Oryctolagus cuniculus: one gene and its partner. Each later gene encodes a partner of the first gene's protein in a complex. Links are inferred from orthologs where the notes say so. Each region holds a gene or a part of one and is shown in the gene's direction. Other genes may lie near its edges. The genes, in order: MCCC1 and MCCC2.

Region 1 (8,192 bases):
AATGTGGGAATTCAAACAAATTCCTGCAGGAAGGTACAAATTCAGGGAATAAAATGCATGATTAATATGATCTTGGATATTTTGAATCCTGCAAAATGGATGTATTGGCGACACACAGTAGATCTCCAAACACTTTGAACACTTTCCTCTCTGTAAGGGGCAGGAAAGCCATGGGGAGCCTGCCTACTTTAGTGTGTGAGGGTTCTGACTCACACTGGTGCCTCTGGCTTGGGGACCTTTCATGTCCCTTGGTGACTGGTAAAATAAATTGCTGATTTGTTCCAATTTGCTCGGGGAACCAACAAATTTAGAATGCTTTTGTAAATCTTTAAACAAAAGTGTTCCCAATCTAACCTTTACATCCTAAGAATTTCACAAACATTCAGATGACTGTTTTAGTTGGTTAAAAAGCAGGGTGAAATATCATATATAACTTAAGGTAGAAGAAAACTGTGGATAAATACTGCAATGTGACCTCTTTCACCTTACCCTACATTACATGTTGGAAAAGAATAACCACAGGACTTCTACACTAACATCATGGGAATTGAAGTGAAAAATACAGAGAGAAGATTTAAATGGATTTCTGTGTGTAAAGGAAATTTTCCCTGGAGTATTACATGGGAGAAAATACACTTTAAAACAGAAAGGTTTCACTTCGTTTTGTCAGCTTCCATGAAGCATTGAGTGTGAACTCTGTTTTCACATGTGGTCTCTTTGTGAAAATTATTAAGGTCTATCTTCAGCTAATTGATCTTTTTGAATGTCACTGATATCCATGAATTGGACCTATGTGTTGGTTAGATAAAAGAAGTACCATCTGTGGGGGCTGCTGTTGCAGTGCAGTGTGTTAAGCCACTACCTGCCACTCCAGCAACCTGTATGGGTGCTGGTTTGAGTCCCGGCTGCTCCACTTCCAACCCAGTGCCCTGCTAATGGCCTGGGAAAGCAATGGAAGATAGCCCAAGTACATGGGCTCCTGCCATCCATGTGGGAGACCCAAATGGAATTCTGGGTTCCTGGCTTGTGGCAATTTGGGGAGTGAACCAGTGGATGGAAGCTCTCTTTCTCTGTCCCTCTCCCTCTCCCTCTCCCATCCTCCTTACCTCCCTCCCTCCCTCTCATTCTCTGTAACTCTGACTTTCAAAAAAAAATAAATAAATCTTTGAAAAAAATTCATAAGAAATACCATACAATTATGTAGTTCTGGTTCTTTTTTTATTACTGACTTCGGCATAGGAAAATTAAATTTGATTTTGCACACTCAGAAATGAGTACTAACATTAAAGTTACTGAAATGAATCAATAATTTTTCTTACCTTGATTTGTATTTTTACTTAACATTTTTATTGCTCTTATTTCTAAAATGAACCTTTATCTGTAGCATTGTAGTGACATGGATATGCTATATAACTGATGTATTTCCTTTTAATTATTGCTGTTTTATCTAAAGCATTTTGGTTAGGAATCTGAGGAAAGTTCTCCATGGTTTTTAAAAATAGTTTTGATGTACTACCTGTTGAAATTACCAATAGCAAATAATTGATTCTGATTTTATTAATTCTGGGGGGTCATTATTGATTTTGAAGATATTTTTCTGTTTGTTTTTCAGATTGAAGACCAAACCTTCCAAGTCCTTGGTGATCTTTCTAGTGAGGGAGATTGCACTTACCTGAAGTGTTCTGTTAATGGAGTTACTCATAAAGCCAAGCTCATTATCCTGGAAAACACTATCTACCTATTTTCCATGGTAACGTCTTTTCTTTGTGTGTGTGTGTGTGTGTTTTTTTTTTTTTAATTTTATTTATGTATTTGAAAGGCAGAGTTACAGAGAAAGAGGGAGGGAAGGAGGGAGGTCTTCCATTCACTGGTTCACTCCCCAGATGGCCACAACAGCTGGAGCTGGGTTGATCCAAAGCCAGGAGCTTCTTCCAGGTCTCCCACGTGGGTGCAGGGGCTGAAGCACTTGGACCATCTTCTGCTGCTTTCCCAGGTGCATCAGAGGGAGCTGGATTGGGAGTGGGAAGTGGACTTGAACTGGAGTGCCAGCACTGCAGGCAGTGGTTTTAACCACTATGCCACAGCGCCAGCCCCTCGTCTTTTCTTTATATCTTGGGGTTTAGGAGAAAGGTGCTTGACAGAGGCATTTCCCCAAGTGAGTTCAGAAAGGCACTGCTCCCTTCCACCACTGCCGTGGCTCCTCCTCCATTTCTTTGCCATATTCCTGCCCTCCCTAGCTCTCCGTTCACTCCTGTGGTCACGCAGATTCTCTCTGGTAGACACATAACCATTTTCTTCCTTGGATTCTGAAACAAGTGCCTGCAGCACCCTCGTCAGGGAGCACCTCCTGGCTCAGTGGGCTGTGTTCTCTCGGGGCTTGGTTGCCTGAACACCACCTTCCACCTGGCTCTTGGAGTCCTGTTGATTTTACAGGAGGCGACCGCTGGGACCAGATGTGCCTCTTGACAGAGGGAAGGTGGCTGGGTTCCTGGTGGTCTCTAGGCAGTCAAAGGACAGTCAGGGCTGGCTTCCATGGATTGGGTTAGGAGCCACCCACACAACGAGTCTGTCACACTCTGCCCTGCAGAACGAACTCTCAATTACACTGTGGCCCCCTGGGGGACTGTCACCTTGTGGGACCACCTTGCAGGGCAGAGTGCTTTGTGATGATGTCTTCAGTTTGCTGGCAGTTTTGGAGTCTGGGGTGCTCTCACTTGCCCAGGCATTCCTTTCCATTGTCAGTGACACTGTAGCAGTAGGATGGTGGAGGCAGTGCAAGGTGAGGAGCCTGAGTTCTGGAAGGTAGAGCTGCTGTGATTCAAATCCTGGCCCTGCCGCTTAGCCTGAGTGGCCTTGGGCAGTTAGACACTCTGTGCTTCAAGTTTCCCATCTGTAAATCAGAATGATAACAGTACCTACCTCGTGGACTTGTGTGATGGTTAATGACATAATTAATGAAACATTAAGAACAGTTCCTGGCGTTGACTGCGTAGACCCAGCACGTGATGGTGAGGATGCTGCTAAATGGCTTCTGGACAGTGACTTCATTTTGTTAACCACCTGGCTGGCATGCACGCCACTGCTTCATAATGGCAAAGCCAGATTGAGAATAATTGTACTTCCCTCAAAGTCACAGAAGGTAGACTAGAATGCTGATCTTCTGATGGCTAATGTTTAACAAGTAGCGTGACAGTAATCATTTCAAGTATATGAGAAAAATATAGTGATAGGAACTAGTTTCCATGTTCTGTTTTTTTCTGTTTACAGGAGGGGAGTATCAAGTTTGACATTCCAGTACCCAAATACCTGTCTTCGCTGAGCTCCGAAGGGACTCAGGGAGCTACTGTAGCTCCTATGACGGGAACCATTGAGAAGGTAATCATGCGACATTTGTTAAAATGATGTCCAATAAAGCCTAATACATGCCTTTGTTGAACTTTGTCCATTTTAAGAAAGCAAGAGGATTTGTTCTAGATTGCAATTCCATATTATATAATTTTCAGTGAAAAAACTCCTTTACCTAGTTTATGATAAAGACCACTCTTTTTGAAGGTCAGAATTTGCATCAAAGTACAAAGAATCCAGTTTGTTCTCTTACATTTGGAATAGAGCATCCACCAAAGACTGTTTTGTCATGAAACAATAACTTTTTTCCAATATGCATAACTGCATGTGTGTTAAGATGACATTCGAAAAGCTGATGTTGCTGAAGAGCAGTGTGGTCTGGTGTTGAATGCAGTGTGCATCCAGAACTCACATCCATCCTGTCCGTGTCCCTTTGGGCTGCTCTAACAGAAGGCTGTAGACCAAGTCACTCATAAGCAGAAACGTATTACCACTCCGGAGGCTGGGAAAGCAAGCTCCGGACACCAGCAGAGTCACCGTCTAATGAGATCTGGCTTCCTGGTGTCATAAACAGCGGTCTTTTCCCAGTGTTCTCATAAGTTGGTAGGGGCAAGGGATCTCTTTCAGGCCTCTTTCAGAAGGTCACGAATCCTGTTCCTGAGGGCTGCCTCGCCAAGGCCCCACCTCCAATTATCATCCCCTTGGGGGTTAGAATTTCAGGGTGTGAATTTTGGGGGGACACATTCAGACCGTGCATAGCACCTGTAGTGTAACCCCAGTGGTGATGGATCAGTAATCTCCTCTTACACCTTGAATGCACTTAAATCACAGAAATGCATTTGTATCTTCTTGATGCAAAAAAAAAGTAGCAGAAGGAAAAAGAGATAGTGATTGTGTAAGTAGTAGAGGAGGAAGGGGAGGAGGAAGCAGACGAAGTGATAATAATTATGTAAGTATGCATGATTTCACCCACTGTTCCCCTCTTGAAGAATTTACCTCCGAGCAGACTTGGATTCGCTTTAGTTCACTCAGTCTTAGTTTCCACAGACCTCTGTATAGTGTGGGCACCTCTGCACGGAGTGCTCATCTTGTGGATAGAGATGCACAGTTTTCCCGTTACTGGCCCCCTAAAGTCAGGTCACTCATTTCATCAGCGTGTGCTAAAGCACCCTGGGAGTGGGGCATTTGCAGGGCTCTCGGGGGTGCTTCCCACTTCTTACGCTCATCAGTCCTCACTGACCTGAACCTAACTCTCCTGCGAAACGTTTCCAAAAACTCTCTGGTAACCACATTAACCGAAAAGATAGGGAGACCTTATGGGACATGCAAATTCATTTACGGCTGTAAAAAGGAAAACAAATTCTTTTTCAGCTTGCTAATAAGTTTAATTCTCCTACATGAAAATTGTCTACACACATACTACACAGGACTCAAGACTTCAGACAGTAGCCTGGACACCCCTCAAACCAGAAAGCCAGTCGTGACCTCCCTCTGCCCTGTCTGCTGAAGACATTTAAGTACACCAGGAACATCAGAAAGTTCATGGGAAAAAATAGAATTAAAAATATGCTTATTTTGATGCAAAAAAACCCTTTGAGAGCCACACTTCTCTTTTTCATTGATACACATTTTTTTCATTAACTTTTTGAAGATAACAATAGGATCCCTGCTAGTGATGTTCTTGTTTGTACACCCATGAAAACAACAAAAGGATACCAAGATAGATAAAATGTATCCACACCTAATTGAAGCAAAACTTGATGACCTGAGGTGGGCGCGGGGTTCTAAGCCGTGCTGCATTGAGCTGGTGGTGGCTGCTTCACACCCATGCAGACAGCATAGTCACACAGACTCCTGCTTCTGCTCCACTTCCATGCCAGCAATGTGGACCACCAAGGCGTCTGTGTTTTTAGATAGTAACCCATCCTCTGAATCTCTAGGTGTTTGTGAAAGCCGGGGACAGAGTGAAAGCTGGAGATTCTCTAGTGGTTATGATCGCCATGAAGATGGAGGTGAGCGAAATCACACGTTCTGTTGGCAAGGGAACCTTGGGAACCTCAAGCCTGATGTTCTTTTGCATTCGTTTGTAAGTTAATGCCATTTTAAATATGAAGAGTCATGGATCAATGAAGCGTTAATTTCAGGAAACAAAACCCAGTGTTCCTTCTCATAAATATATTTTCATCTTAATTTTGGGAAAGCACACCTGTCATTTCTGATTATGAAATTGTTGATAGCTTAGAAGCAGGAAGTAGCCCAACTAGATGCTTTCTCTGTTTGTGTTTTCTAAGGCTGAACCCTGAGGATTCCAAGTGTCGTTTTCAAAGTGAAAAGCCTCAATCAAATTGAATTAGCTATGGAGGCTTTTAGGTCTGTGGTCATCAACCCTTGGCCAAAATTCCGGTCACCTGGGAAACTTTTATAAGCTACTTCCGCAGCCAAGGAATCTCCAAGGCTAGGGCCTGGGGACCAGTACTGTTTGAAAGCATCCCAGGTGATATTCTCATGTGAAGCTGGGTTTGGGACCTACTCGCCAGACCAGAGCTTCCTCATCATCTCCTGTCTGGGTTCCCAGGATTGATTCCTGCAACCCTCAAACATACCACAACAGTGTCACCATTTTTTCTGTCAACATCATGTGATGTTTAAACAATAATAATAAAAGGTTGGGCAGGGCAGAAAGACTAGGAATCAGCAAAACAGTTGGCTACATATTTCCCCTTTTCTCTTTCAGTCCCATTAGTGTTTGCATCATTGTTTATTCTATCTTGTGTCTCTGCAGCACACCATAAAGGCGCCGAAGGATGGCACGATAAAGAAAGTGTTCTACAAAGAAGGCTCGCAGGCCAACAGACATGCTCCTTTGGTCGAGTTTGAGGAGGAGGAATCTGACAAAAGGGAATCAGAATAAACCCCATCAGAGAAAAATGGCCAATTACGTAGTATCTTATTCTCATACTGAAAAGAAAGTGCCTACTGCTTTTTCTTGGGTTCTTATAAAAGGCAGTTTTAACTAAATGATTTAACTACATGATTATGCCAAACCTCTCTTATTTAAGAATTGTGTACTTGAGGCCCAACACTGTGGTGCAGCAGGTAAAGCTGCTGCCTATGGTGCCAGCATTCTTTACGGGCGCCGATTCAAGTCCCGGATGTTCCTCTTTCAGTCCAGCTCCCTGCCAGTGCACCTGGGACAGCAGTGAAGGGTGGCCCAAGTCCCACATGGGAGACCTGGAGAAGGTTCCTGGCTCCAAATTCAGATCAACCCAGGACTGGCCATTGCAGCCATTTGGGGAGTGAGCCAGTGGATGGGGGCCCTCTCTCTGTCTCTCTCTGTATCTCTGCCTTTCAAATAAATAAATGAATCTTAGAAAGGAATCATGCACTGAGTCACAAATATAATTATCTCAGAATATTTCATACTAATAAAATTGAATTGTGCTTTTTTTTTTTACTGGCAATAGATATTGTTTCTGCCTCAGATTTTATAAAATGTAGCATTTTTAGGAAAGGGGATAGCAACTTGATGAAAAAAATTGGAAGAAAAAAGTTATTTAACTAAATGAATTATTTTCCAGTTACAATCATGATGAAAATGGACAGTAACATCCTTCAGACAGATGGCCACAGAGCAAAGCCCAACCAAGATTTTGTTTCATCAAAGAGTAACTTATTGGGCAGTTTAAAGACATGGCTGTTTGTTTCTACTTTTTGATTGGAAAATTTCTACCTAGACTGCTGCTACTTTCTAAGCTCATAAAAAAATATGTGTATGAGTTGTATGTATTATATACTAGAATATAGTATTAAGAATTAATTTGGATAAATTTTTAAAATATGCTGTTACAGAAAGCATGGGTAAAAGTAGAATGCCTGACTGCTGAATACTTCTTTATGAAAGCATTTTTTCGTTACCAAAAAGAAAAAAGCCCACTTTGGATTGTAGTTCTTCACCTTTGTGTAGATTCTGTTATTACTGACACTTATACAGCCCTCTGCATTTTCATGTATTCATTGCAGCATCAAATATTTGCTAAATTGTGCCTTCACTGAATGCATAAAACTATGTTAAATGTGGAGAATACAAAAAAAAATGGATAAAAGATGATCTCTTTAAGATGCCTGTAATTTAATTGGAAAAGGAAAACATAAGCATGTCAGAAGTTCTGTGGGGAAAGGTCTCTGTCTCTTGATTGCTAAGGAAGCAGTCCCATCACCAGTGCAGTGGCAAGGAAGGTGCCAACGGTAGTACTAAAATTGGAAGTGCTGAGTTCTCAAATAAATCTGATGACACAGCCCGGTTAGAATGTCCATCTCCCCAACCAGGCAACGTGAAACTCAATCTCTCCCAAGACGTGGGTGGAGGTGACGACTGCGGTCATGACTGGTGCCGGAAGTAGGTATTTTAGGAGCCGGCATGAGTGAGAGTTCTCTGGGCTGCCATGATCAGGCTAGGTTTTTGCAAAGGAGGAACAACCCAGGGCCAGGGGGGGGGGGGAGGGTGAGGGGGGGAATGGGGACTGGGAAAGAGGAAGGAGCAGGACTTCACTGTGGAAAATGAACAAGGTGTGTTGTGTGCTGAAGAGCAGGTTCACACAACTGGAACGGTTGGGGCTTTTGAGAGAGGGGGCTGCCATGAGAGAAAAAGCACAGAGTTTAGGTTATGGTCAAATGAAATCCTGGCAGGGAATGTCAGGTTTGGGTTTCATCCTGCAAGTAGTGCTTACGCTGAATTACGTATGGTATTTGGGGAAATGCTACCTGGCTATTGGAGCCCCTTTGAAAAATACTGATGCCATTTTATGATGCTGAACGTTTCCATCCCCTAGAACCTAACACCCCACTTC
Region 2 (9,091 bases), on another chromosome or scaffold:
GACCTCTGCCTCTGCTTCTCTATAACTCTGCCTTTCAAATAAATAAATAAATCTTAAAAAAAGGAACTATTATTTGAAAACATTTTAAAAAAGCTATTTGGGAGACGACCCAAGTCTGAATTTAAAATGTTTCGTATGCACCTTACATACATAATTTGAATGTTATTTCATACAGTATTTTCCACGCCTAACCCTATGTGAGGGATAGCAGTCAAAGTATAAGTGTACTAAAAATATTATAAATTTTGAAGTGATTGGAAGGGGCTTGTTATGAATAACAAAAGATACTCCTGTCATCCCATCACTCAGAAATGACAAAAGTTTAGGATCTCTGTGCCAGGAATTGAGAGGGTAGACAATAGAATATGTATTTTTTTTTTTTTTTTTACCTTGAAACAGGCTCCATGATAAATACTTTTTGTTTGTTTTGAAAGGCAGAGCTGCAGAAAGAGAGAGGGAGAGACAGAGAGGGGTCTTCCATCTGGTGGTTCACTCTCCAAATGACTGTAACGACTGGGGTTGGGCCAGACTGAAGTCAGGAGCTGGGAGTCTCTTCTGGGTCTCCCACGTGGGTGTGGAGCCCAAGCACTTTGTCCATTTTCTGTTCCTTTCCCAGGTGCATTAGCAGGAGCTAGGTTGGAAGCAGAGAAGCTGTGACATGAACCAGTGGCCATATAGGATGCCAGTGTCACAGGCAACAGCCCCAAATCCTTTTTATTTTTAAGATTACTCATTTATTTTAAAGACAGAGAGATAGAGAAAGAGATACAGAGATCTCCTATACGCTGGCTCATATCCAAATGCCTGCAACAGCTAGGGCTGGGCCTGGCTGGAGCCAGGGGCTGGGAGCTCCATCCAGTCTCCCACGTGGGTGTCAGATGCTGCTGCCTCCCAGGGTGCATAGCAGCAGTAAGCTGCAATCTGGGGCAGAGCTGGGATGCACTCCAACCCTGCAGTATTTTGACGTGGACGTCCTGAGCAGGTTTTAACAGCGAGGCCAAAGGCCTGCTCTTCAGCAAACATTTTTTGTTGCTTTCCACGTTCCTGGTTCTAGTTTAGGGGCACAATGGTGAATAAGAAGGACAAAATTTCGGAGTGGACATTTGCCACAAGGGTTATGACGCATAAATAGGAGAAGCACATTGCCCTCGCCTGGGAGCCCAGCTGCTTTTATCCACTTTATTTTCAACAAGGATTCAGGGCGTTACCTTTCAGAATTCTGGAGGTTATAAAATGAGATAATGAAAGCATCGTCAGTGTAAAGAAAATTGAATTTTGTGAAGAATTCAGATGTGTCCCAGATTTCCAGTGAGGAGCTGCTGGTTTTAGGGCTTCCTGGTGAGGCTGCACCGTTTCCCTCCCTGGCTGTCTTTGTCCCCTGCTCTGCTCTTTGTTACCCGTGGGTCCTCGTACCCAGCACACTGGTCTTGGTGAGAAGGAGCACTATTGAGGGCTCATTGTATCTGCGATATGTCTTCAGTGTGCTGTTTTACGGTTTGCATCCGCTGTGACTTCAAGCTAATTTAATGTTGTATTTTAGACGAATTTTAGTTTTATGGAAGAGCATAGACCCGTAATACTGAAGATCTTCTGAAAAATATAGTAAATAAATGCTGGAACTCCTGATGGGTCAGTGTTAATTTTTTTTTTTTTTTTTTTTTTTTGCAAATTTCCTTGCTTAAAGAGAACTCTGAAGGTTTTTTTTTTATTTATTTATTTTTTTGACAGGCAGAGTGGACAGTGAGAGAGAGAGACAGAGAGAGAAAGGTCTTCCTTTGCCGTTGGTTCACCCTCCAATGGCCGCCGCTGCAGCCGGCGCACCGCGCTGATCCGATGGCAGGAGCCAGGAGCCAGGTGCTTTTCCTGGTCTCCCATGGGGTGCAGGGCCCAAGCACCTGGGCCATCCTCCACTGCACTCCCTGGCCATAGCAGAGAGCTGGCCTGGAAGAGGGGCAACCGGGACAGAATCCGGCGCCCCAACCGGGACTAGAACCCGGTGTGCCGGCGCCGCAAGGTGGAGGATTAGCCTATTGAGCCACGGAGCCGGCTTTCTGAAGGTTTATTGTAAAGGAATTCCTCACCCCCAAGACTTGAGTTTTTAAGGTTTTGGGTATTAACATTGTTAGGGTCCTTTCATTCAAGGAACCATCATGAAATGAGCTTACGTTTGTAGTTTTTCAAGTGTGAGTTTGTACCCTCAATAAAGTAATCATTCGGTTTTATATGAATGACTGTGTCAGCCATGACCATTGTCAGGCTTGTTTTGTATCCTCAGACCGGCAGCTAATGGGTGTCACTGGTGAAATGCACAAGGTGTTGAGGCTTACACTGAGCGTCTTGTCATTCGCTACCATGGGCCTTTAATTTTGAAGAAATCACTCACATTCTCTTTCCGATGAAATTTCTGCCTTTCAGAGTAGAGTGCATGATCGTTGCCAATGACGCCACTGTTAAAGGAGGCACCTACTACCCGGTGACCGTGAAGAAACACCTGCGGGCCCAGGAGATTGCGCTGCAGAACAGGCTCCCCTGCATCTACCTGGGCAAGTGACAGGCACCGCACAGTAAGCTGTGGCCGGCTGGGAAAGTGCAAGCCTGTTTAGAAGGCTAGACCCTGACGCTACCAGTTGTTTAAAAAAAAAAAAAAAAAAAGCTATTGATTGATTTCTTCCACAATTATAAAGGAAACACATGTTCTTTCCTGAAAACTCCAGGGGAAATGAACTTCCAGGAATATCCCCTAGGAATATCTTGGTGTGTGCCGTTTTTTTTTTTTTTCTCTCCACACTGTGGATTTTTTCTTCTATATATTTTGTTGTTCTGTTACCCATAATGGGTCCAAACTATGAAAAAAATAGCTAATTTTTATGGATCTCTTTGAGTGCCTGGCACTGTGTTAAATGCTATATTATATAATTTGAGCAAATGTTATTTTAAGTAAATTTAATTTCTAGTGAATTGCTTTAAAATCAGGGGATATTCCAGAAAGAACCTAAAAGCAAAGCAGTTTAGAAAAATTGGCACCTCCTAGATATTGACTTAGTTTGATGAGATTCCAACATACATTGTTCATTTATGCTGGTACTCGAACACAGATACTGATGTAGAGATTTTTTAATCCTGGAAAGTGAATACCTGGTTTACTCACAATGTGAACTGTTTTTCGCATGTACAGAAAATAGCAAATGAAGCCCAGCTGCTTGTGGTCCTGGGCCAGATGCTGGAGGGGATGAGTGAAAGGCATGATGTTGTCTCTGTCTTCAGTGAGCTCATGATGACTTTGAGACAGGAGATGGGGTTAAATAACTATTAAAGACGCAGTGGTCATAGGCAGTAGTAGTAAATGTAGGACTAGCCAAATTTTAACATCTCCTGTGTGCACTCAGAGTGTGTGCCTCTGAATGAAGTGCTTTATATATGGTATTTCACTCCTCCTAGCAGCTCTGTGGGGTAGCTCCTATTGTTATCTTCATTTCACAGGGGAGAGACTGAGGCAAAGCATGGCAAGGAGACACCTGTAACCACACAGCTGTGCAGTAACAAGCTGTGTTTGAACACAGTACCCTAATCCACTGTTTCAGTCTGCGATCAGCGCAGTATCAGAAGGCCTTAAGTGATGAATCGTCCCCATGAATTCCGTGGATGGCTTTTGTATTGGCGTGGAAGAGGAAAAGAAAAATTTTCAGTTCAGTTGGTTAAGAATTTATATTCCTGGATTATCTGAGGACCTTAGCTGGTCTTCAAATGAGAGAATGTCCCAGACATCTCAGCTAGCATTTTGCACAGACGTAGGGAAGCCAGGTGGGTTTGGGACCAACAGTGAGTCCTTCGGGCTGTGCAGGGGGTTGGAGAAAGAGACTCCAGAGTGTGTCTAGAACGTGGCTGTGATCAGGAACCACTACTGTCCTTGAGGCAGGTCCCCTGGGAGAGTGTGTTTTGTTCACAGAGATGTGCTGACTTCTCCCATTTTCCTTCAGTCGATTCAGGAGGGGCAAACTTACCTCGACAAGCAGATACGTTTCCAGACCGAGATCACTTCGGCCGCATATTCTATAATCAGGCAATTATGTCGTCTAAAAATATTACACAGGTAATATCTCACTGGTGAGCTGTATTGCTTTTTTATTCCAAATGTCTCTGCCAATCATATACTCAGGGATGATTTAAAGATAAACTAGAATTTAGGCTTTTCCCACAGAAAGTATCTCAAGATGGTCTCCAGTTAGAACCTTCTGATGATCAATAGGTCTGCCCCTACACTGTAGTAAAGGTTATTTACCTAGGAAAACAGGTTTTGAAAAGAAAGGGCACTTCGTAGTTCCTTTTCTAGGTCTGTTCTGTGGGGAAGTTCTAGTGGATGCATGAAAAAATCTAGACAATAAAAGGTCACTGGGGGTTGGCATTGTGGTGCAGCAGGTTAAGCCACCGCTTATGACACCAGTGTCATATCAGAGTGCTGGTTCGAGTCCCAGCTACTCTGCTTCCAGTCCAGCTCCTTAATAATGTGCCTGGGAAGGCAGTAGTAGATGGCCTAAGTATTTGGGCCCCTGTCAGCCACGTAGGAGACCAGGATGGAACTCCTGACTAGCCTAGCCCTACCTGGGCTATTGCAGCCATTTGGGAAGTGAACTAGCAGATGGAAGATCAATTCCACCCCCTTCCCCCCTTTTTCTGTGTTGTTCTGTCTTCCGTTTGCAGTGCCAGCATCCCATATGGGAGCTGGTTCAAGTCCAGCTGCTCCTCTTCTGATTCAGCTCTCTGCTATGGCCTGGGAAAGCAGTGGATGATGGCCCAAGCATTTGGGACCCTGTACCCTTGTGGGAGACCAGTTAGAGGCTCCTGACTCTTGGCTTTAGATCAGCCCAGTTCTGGCCGTTGAGGCCATTTGGAGAGTGAACCATTGGATAGAAGATCTCTCTCCTCTCTCCCCTCTCTCTCCTCTCTCTCTCTGTCTCTCCCTCTTTCTGTAACTCTGCCTCTCAAGAAAATAAATAAATAAAAAAAATTTTTTTTTTTTTTGACAGGCAGAGTGGACAGTGAGAGAGAGACAGAGAGAAAGGTCTTCCTTTGCCGTTGGTTCACCCTCCAATGGCTGCCGTGGCCGGCGCGCTGCGGCCGGCGCACCGTGCTGATCCGAAGGCAGGAGCCAGGTACTTCTCCTGGTCTCCTATGGGGTGCAGGGCCCAACTACTTGGGCCATCCTCAACTGCACTCCCTGGCAGAGCAGAGAGCTGGCCTGGAAGAGGGGCAACTGGGACAGAATCCGGCGCCCCGACTGGGACTAGAACCCGGTGTGCCGGCGCCGCTAGGCGGAGGATTAGTCTATTGAGCTGTGGCACCGGCCTAAATAAAATCTTAAAAAAAAGAAAAGTTAAAGAGTAACCTAAATGTTGATTAATGTGAGATTAATAATTTTAGTTGTTGAATGTACTCAGATTGCAGCATCTATCAACATAAGTAAGTGTGAAAATATGTTGAATAGAAGCACAGTTGCCATGTCTGTAAAGGTTAATTATATCATATTGTACTGTATACTATATAAGTGTAAACAGGCACATGAGAACAATCCATTCAACTTTAAACAATGGCTTCCTGTAAGGTAGGATCAAGGAGAAAGGGATCAGGTGGTCAGATAGGAGGTCTGTAGGTTTGTAGGGCTTCAATTTATATATATATATATATACACATACATATATATATGTATATGTGTATATATACACACACATTTATACATTTATACATGTAATTATATATAAAAGATTTATTTATTTGAAAGATAGAGTCACAGAGAGAGAGAGAGATCTTCCATCTGCTGGTTCATTCCCCAGATGGCCACAAAAGCTGGGGCTGGCCCAGGTTGGCCCAGGAGCCAGAAACTTCCTCTGGATCTCCCACATGGGTGCAAGGGACCAAGCACTTGGGGCATCTTCTGCTGCTTTCCTGGGCCATTAATAGGGAGCTGGATTGGAAGTGGAGCAGCTAGGACTTGAACCGGTGCCCACATGGGATGCTGGTGCTGCAGGCAGCAGCTTAACTTTCTGTGCCACAACACTGGCCCCAGTTATATTTGAAATATTTTATTCCTTTAAGAAAAAAGATGTGAGATAAATTTGGCCAAATTTATTTATTTATGAAGACTGGGGATTAAGTGAATGGATATTTATTTTTTATCCTCCTACCTTTTTTCATGGTTGAACTACTTTGTAATACTTATGCTCTTCCTTTGTTTCCATTTCCTTGTTGGATTTCTTAAGTCCATATTTTTATTGATGTTCTAGTTAAATCTTTTGACGTTCTATCAGGGGAGTAGGTTGTATTTATTGTAAATTGTAGTGTTGGCAGTGACCTTGCTCACCTCTATGCTTTGTTTATCTAAATGAGAAACTTGAGCTTTGTTGACGCTGCACCTCTCTCCCTCTCACTGTCCTGAATGCAGTTGTTATTACCATCTTGTGTATCATAGGGGAAATCAGCACTTTTAATCTGGTATTACAGCATATCTGTCTTGCTTTGTGTTAGGTCCCTAGAGCTGCTGAAACAAATGACCATGAACTTAACCATGAACCAGGGGCTTAACCAAGATTCATTCCCTGAAGTTCTGGAGGGCAGAAGTTTGAAATGTGGGTGGCAATCTCTGCCTCTCTCTTCCCAGGCCTTTTCCTCTTTGGATGGGTGACTGTTCTTTCTTATAAGGATGCTTGTTATTGGATTTTTTTTTTTTTTTTTTTGACAGGCAGAGTGGACAGTGTGAGAGAGAGACAGAGAGAGAAAGGTCTTCCTTTTGCCGTTGGTTCACCCTCCAATGGCCGCTGCTGCAGCCGGCGCACCGCGCTGATCCGATGGCAGGAGCCAGGATCCAGGTGCTTTTCCTGGTCTCCCATGGGGTGCAGGGCCCAAGCACCTGGGCCATCCTCCACTGCACTCCCTGGCCATAGCAGAGAGCTGGCCTGGAAGAGGGGCAACCGGGACAGAATCCGGCGCCCCAACCGGGACTAGAACCCGGTGTGCCGGCGCCGCAAGGTGGAGGATTAGCCTATTGAGCCACGGCGCCGGCCAACTTGTTATTGGATTTAAGGTCCATTATTATCTTAATATAATCACACACACTCAGGCCCTTTTCCCAAGTAAGGTCACATCCACAGGTCCTGGGGATCAGGCCGTGGTCCCATCTTTTGGGGCTGTTGCTCAACCCACTGTAGACCTCTGTCATCTTGCATGTGTATAATTTGCTTTGTGTCATTGTTGTTCATGTAGCTTCTGTGGAGACTAAAGCATACTATTCTGCTACTATTTATGGAGGATCTGCTGTGAGCCAGCCCTGTGCTGGTAAATGAAGCCAGGCGGGGTCTTTTTCTGTGGAACTCAAAGCTTGAGGTGCTTTAGCATAAAGTCTTTTATGAAAAATGCACAGTTTTTTTGAATAAGCAAAACCTACCTATGATAAAAAATCTAAAATGACTAAAAGTCCTCTGATTGTCTTCTTTTTGCGCTTTTATTTTTGTTTTCTAAAACTTGTAACCCAGTGATTATTTCATTGAGCCACTTCTCTTTGCATTTATTTTTTCTCTTTTATTTAAGCAGGAATTTAGAACCCAAGGCTTCCTGGTTCCCAATTTTCCTGGCCCAGCCCTAGTTCTTCTGGCCATTTGAGGGGTGGATCAGTGGAAGGAAGATTTCTTTCTCTTTGTCTCTGTCTTTCTCTCCCTGTCACTCTGCCTTTTTAAAATAAAGACTTACAGAATTCGAATTACTTTTATACATTCCATGCAAATGTGACTCCACATATGTTGCATCATCACATTCATGTTGTGTGTTAAGTGGTACATATATGTGTGTAAAGATGCTGGCACTTTTCGGGAAGTTATGTCCTTTCTGTTCATCTGCCTTTGTGAAGTGTCTCAGCTCTTCAGGTGACTATATTCATATATATATATATATGCGCTGTGTGACCCCTGGGGAATTCTGATTGATCTTATCAAATGACTTTAGGTCACCTGTCACTGTTTCTCGGGTGACTCCAGTTACAAAGCTCACTGTAAACAGTTTCCAACCATAGGAATATGTGATTATACAGTTTCTACTTTTTGACTGATTGTGAGTATAGTTCATCTCTTTATAATTTTTATACCTGTGTGACTATCATTTGTGTACCTGAGTGTTTATGCTTGCAAAAGTATGTATATTTTTTTTAAAAGATTTATCTTATTTATTTGAAAGACAGCATTAATAGGAGAGGAAGAAAGAGATCTTCCATCGGTGGTTCACTCTCCAAATGACTGCAATGGCTGGGGCTGGGCCAGGCTGAAGTCTGGGTCTCCCACATAGGTGGCAGGGGCCCAAGCACCTGGGCCATTCTTTTCTGCTTTCCCAGATGCATTTACAAGGAGCTGATTGGAAGTGGGGCAGCCAGGACTTGAACTGACACTTATTTGGGATGCCAGTGTTATGCCACAAACCAGTCCCTATCATTGCATTTTTATTGTATAATGTGAGTCATTACCTGTTCTGCACATTTTTTTAATGTTTCTCAAATCCCCCTTTAAAAGCATGTATAAGTATCTTTTAAAGAACTTTTAAAGTGACTTTTTCTAGAATTATACTTTTGAGACTTTAATCTTCGGGGATTTCAACATTCAGGATTGTGGCATTAGGAATTGTGTCTTTGGGATTATGTCCCAGACGATGCCCACTGACCCAGAGGCCAGAGTCTCTCACTCTACCTCATGGTGTTGTCATTTGTTCCCTTTCCTGAAATTCTCCTTAAGTCATGCCTGTAGGGTTTCCCTGTTTTCCTTCTACTTTCTCCTTTTAATTTCTGCAATCTTTGTTGATGATTTTATAAACTGTCATGGCTTCCTTGCCTGTTCTCTCCCTGACCTCTCCTGGTCCTGCCCCCTCAATATCTCTGCTTGTAAACCTTGAGGCTTTGTGTCTCTGAACATTTCTTGCTAGTGTTTTAGTATGAGGTGGTATCTCTGATCTCTGACCTCAGTCCTTGGCCTAGAGCTCCTTAAAACATCAGTGATTTCCTAATGCATAGCGGGTGCCTGCAGCATCTGTTGTTCTAAAGTTTGGTCTTTGACTCTGGTTC

Evidence for each region.
Region 2: the proteins of MCCC1 (region 1) and MCCC2 are in contact, whole or in part, in a cryo-EM structure (PDB 8JXM), measured with the Homo sapiens proteins. The link is inferred for Oryctolagus cuniculus from reciprocal best matches to the Homo sapiens genes MCCC1 and MCCC2. Residues at the interface, in NP_064551.3 of Homo sapiens: Glu519, Phe526, His531, Asp532, Phe534, Ser535, Pro536, Phe537, Ser538, Ser539, Ser540, Ser541, Gly542, Arg543, Arg544, Leu545, Asn546, Ile547, Tyr549, Thr550, Arg551, Tyr568, Tyr636, Leu637, Ser641, Glu644; in NP_071415.1 of Homo sapiens: Leu56, His57, Val60, Glu61, Lys64, Asp88, Ile91, Pro93, Gly94, Ser95, Pro96, Phe97, Leu98, Glu99, Gln102, Ile123, Gly124, Arg125, Gly128, Glu130, Arg234, Trp276, Leu278, His281, His282, His285, Lys298, Lys299, Leu300, Ile304.

The regions. Positions count from the first base shown.
Region 1 is NC_091435.1:96,603,943-96,612,134, forward strand, and holds the end of MCCC1 (methylcrotonoyl-CoA carboxylase subunit alpha, mitochondrial), read left to right. Parts: intron 1-1,612; coding exon 1,613-1,750; intron 1,751-3,267; coding exon 3,268-3,375; intron 3,376-5,285; coding exon 5,286-5,357; intron 5,358-6,127; coding exon 6,128-6,256; 3' UTR 6,257-7,462; downstream 7,463-8,192.
Region 2 is NC_091445.1:39,382,201-39,391,291, reverse strand, and holds part of MCCC2 (methylcrotonoyl-CoA carboxylase beta chain, mitochondrial), read left to right. Parts: intron 1-2,415; coding exon 2,416-2,543; intron 2,544-3,977; coding exon 3,978-4,090; intron 4,091-9,091. UniProt on the Homo sapiens protein: Carboxyltransferase subunit of the 3-methylcrotonyl-CoA carboxylase, an enzyme that catalyzes the conversion of 3-methylcrotonyl-CoA to 3-methylglutaconyl-CoA, a critical step for leucine and isovaleric acid catabolism.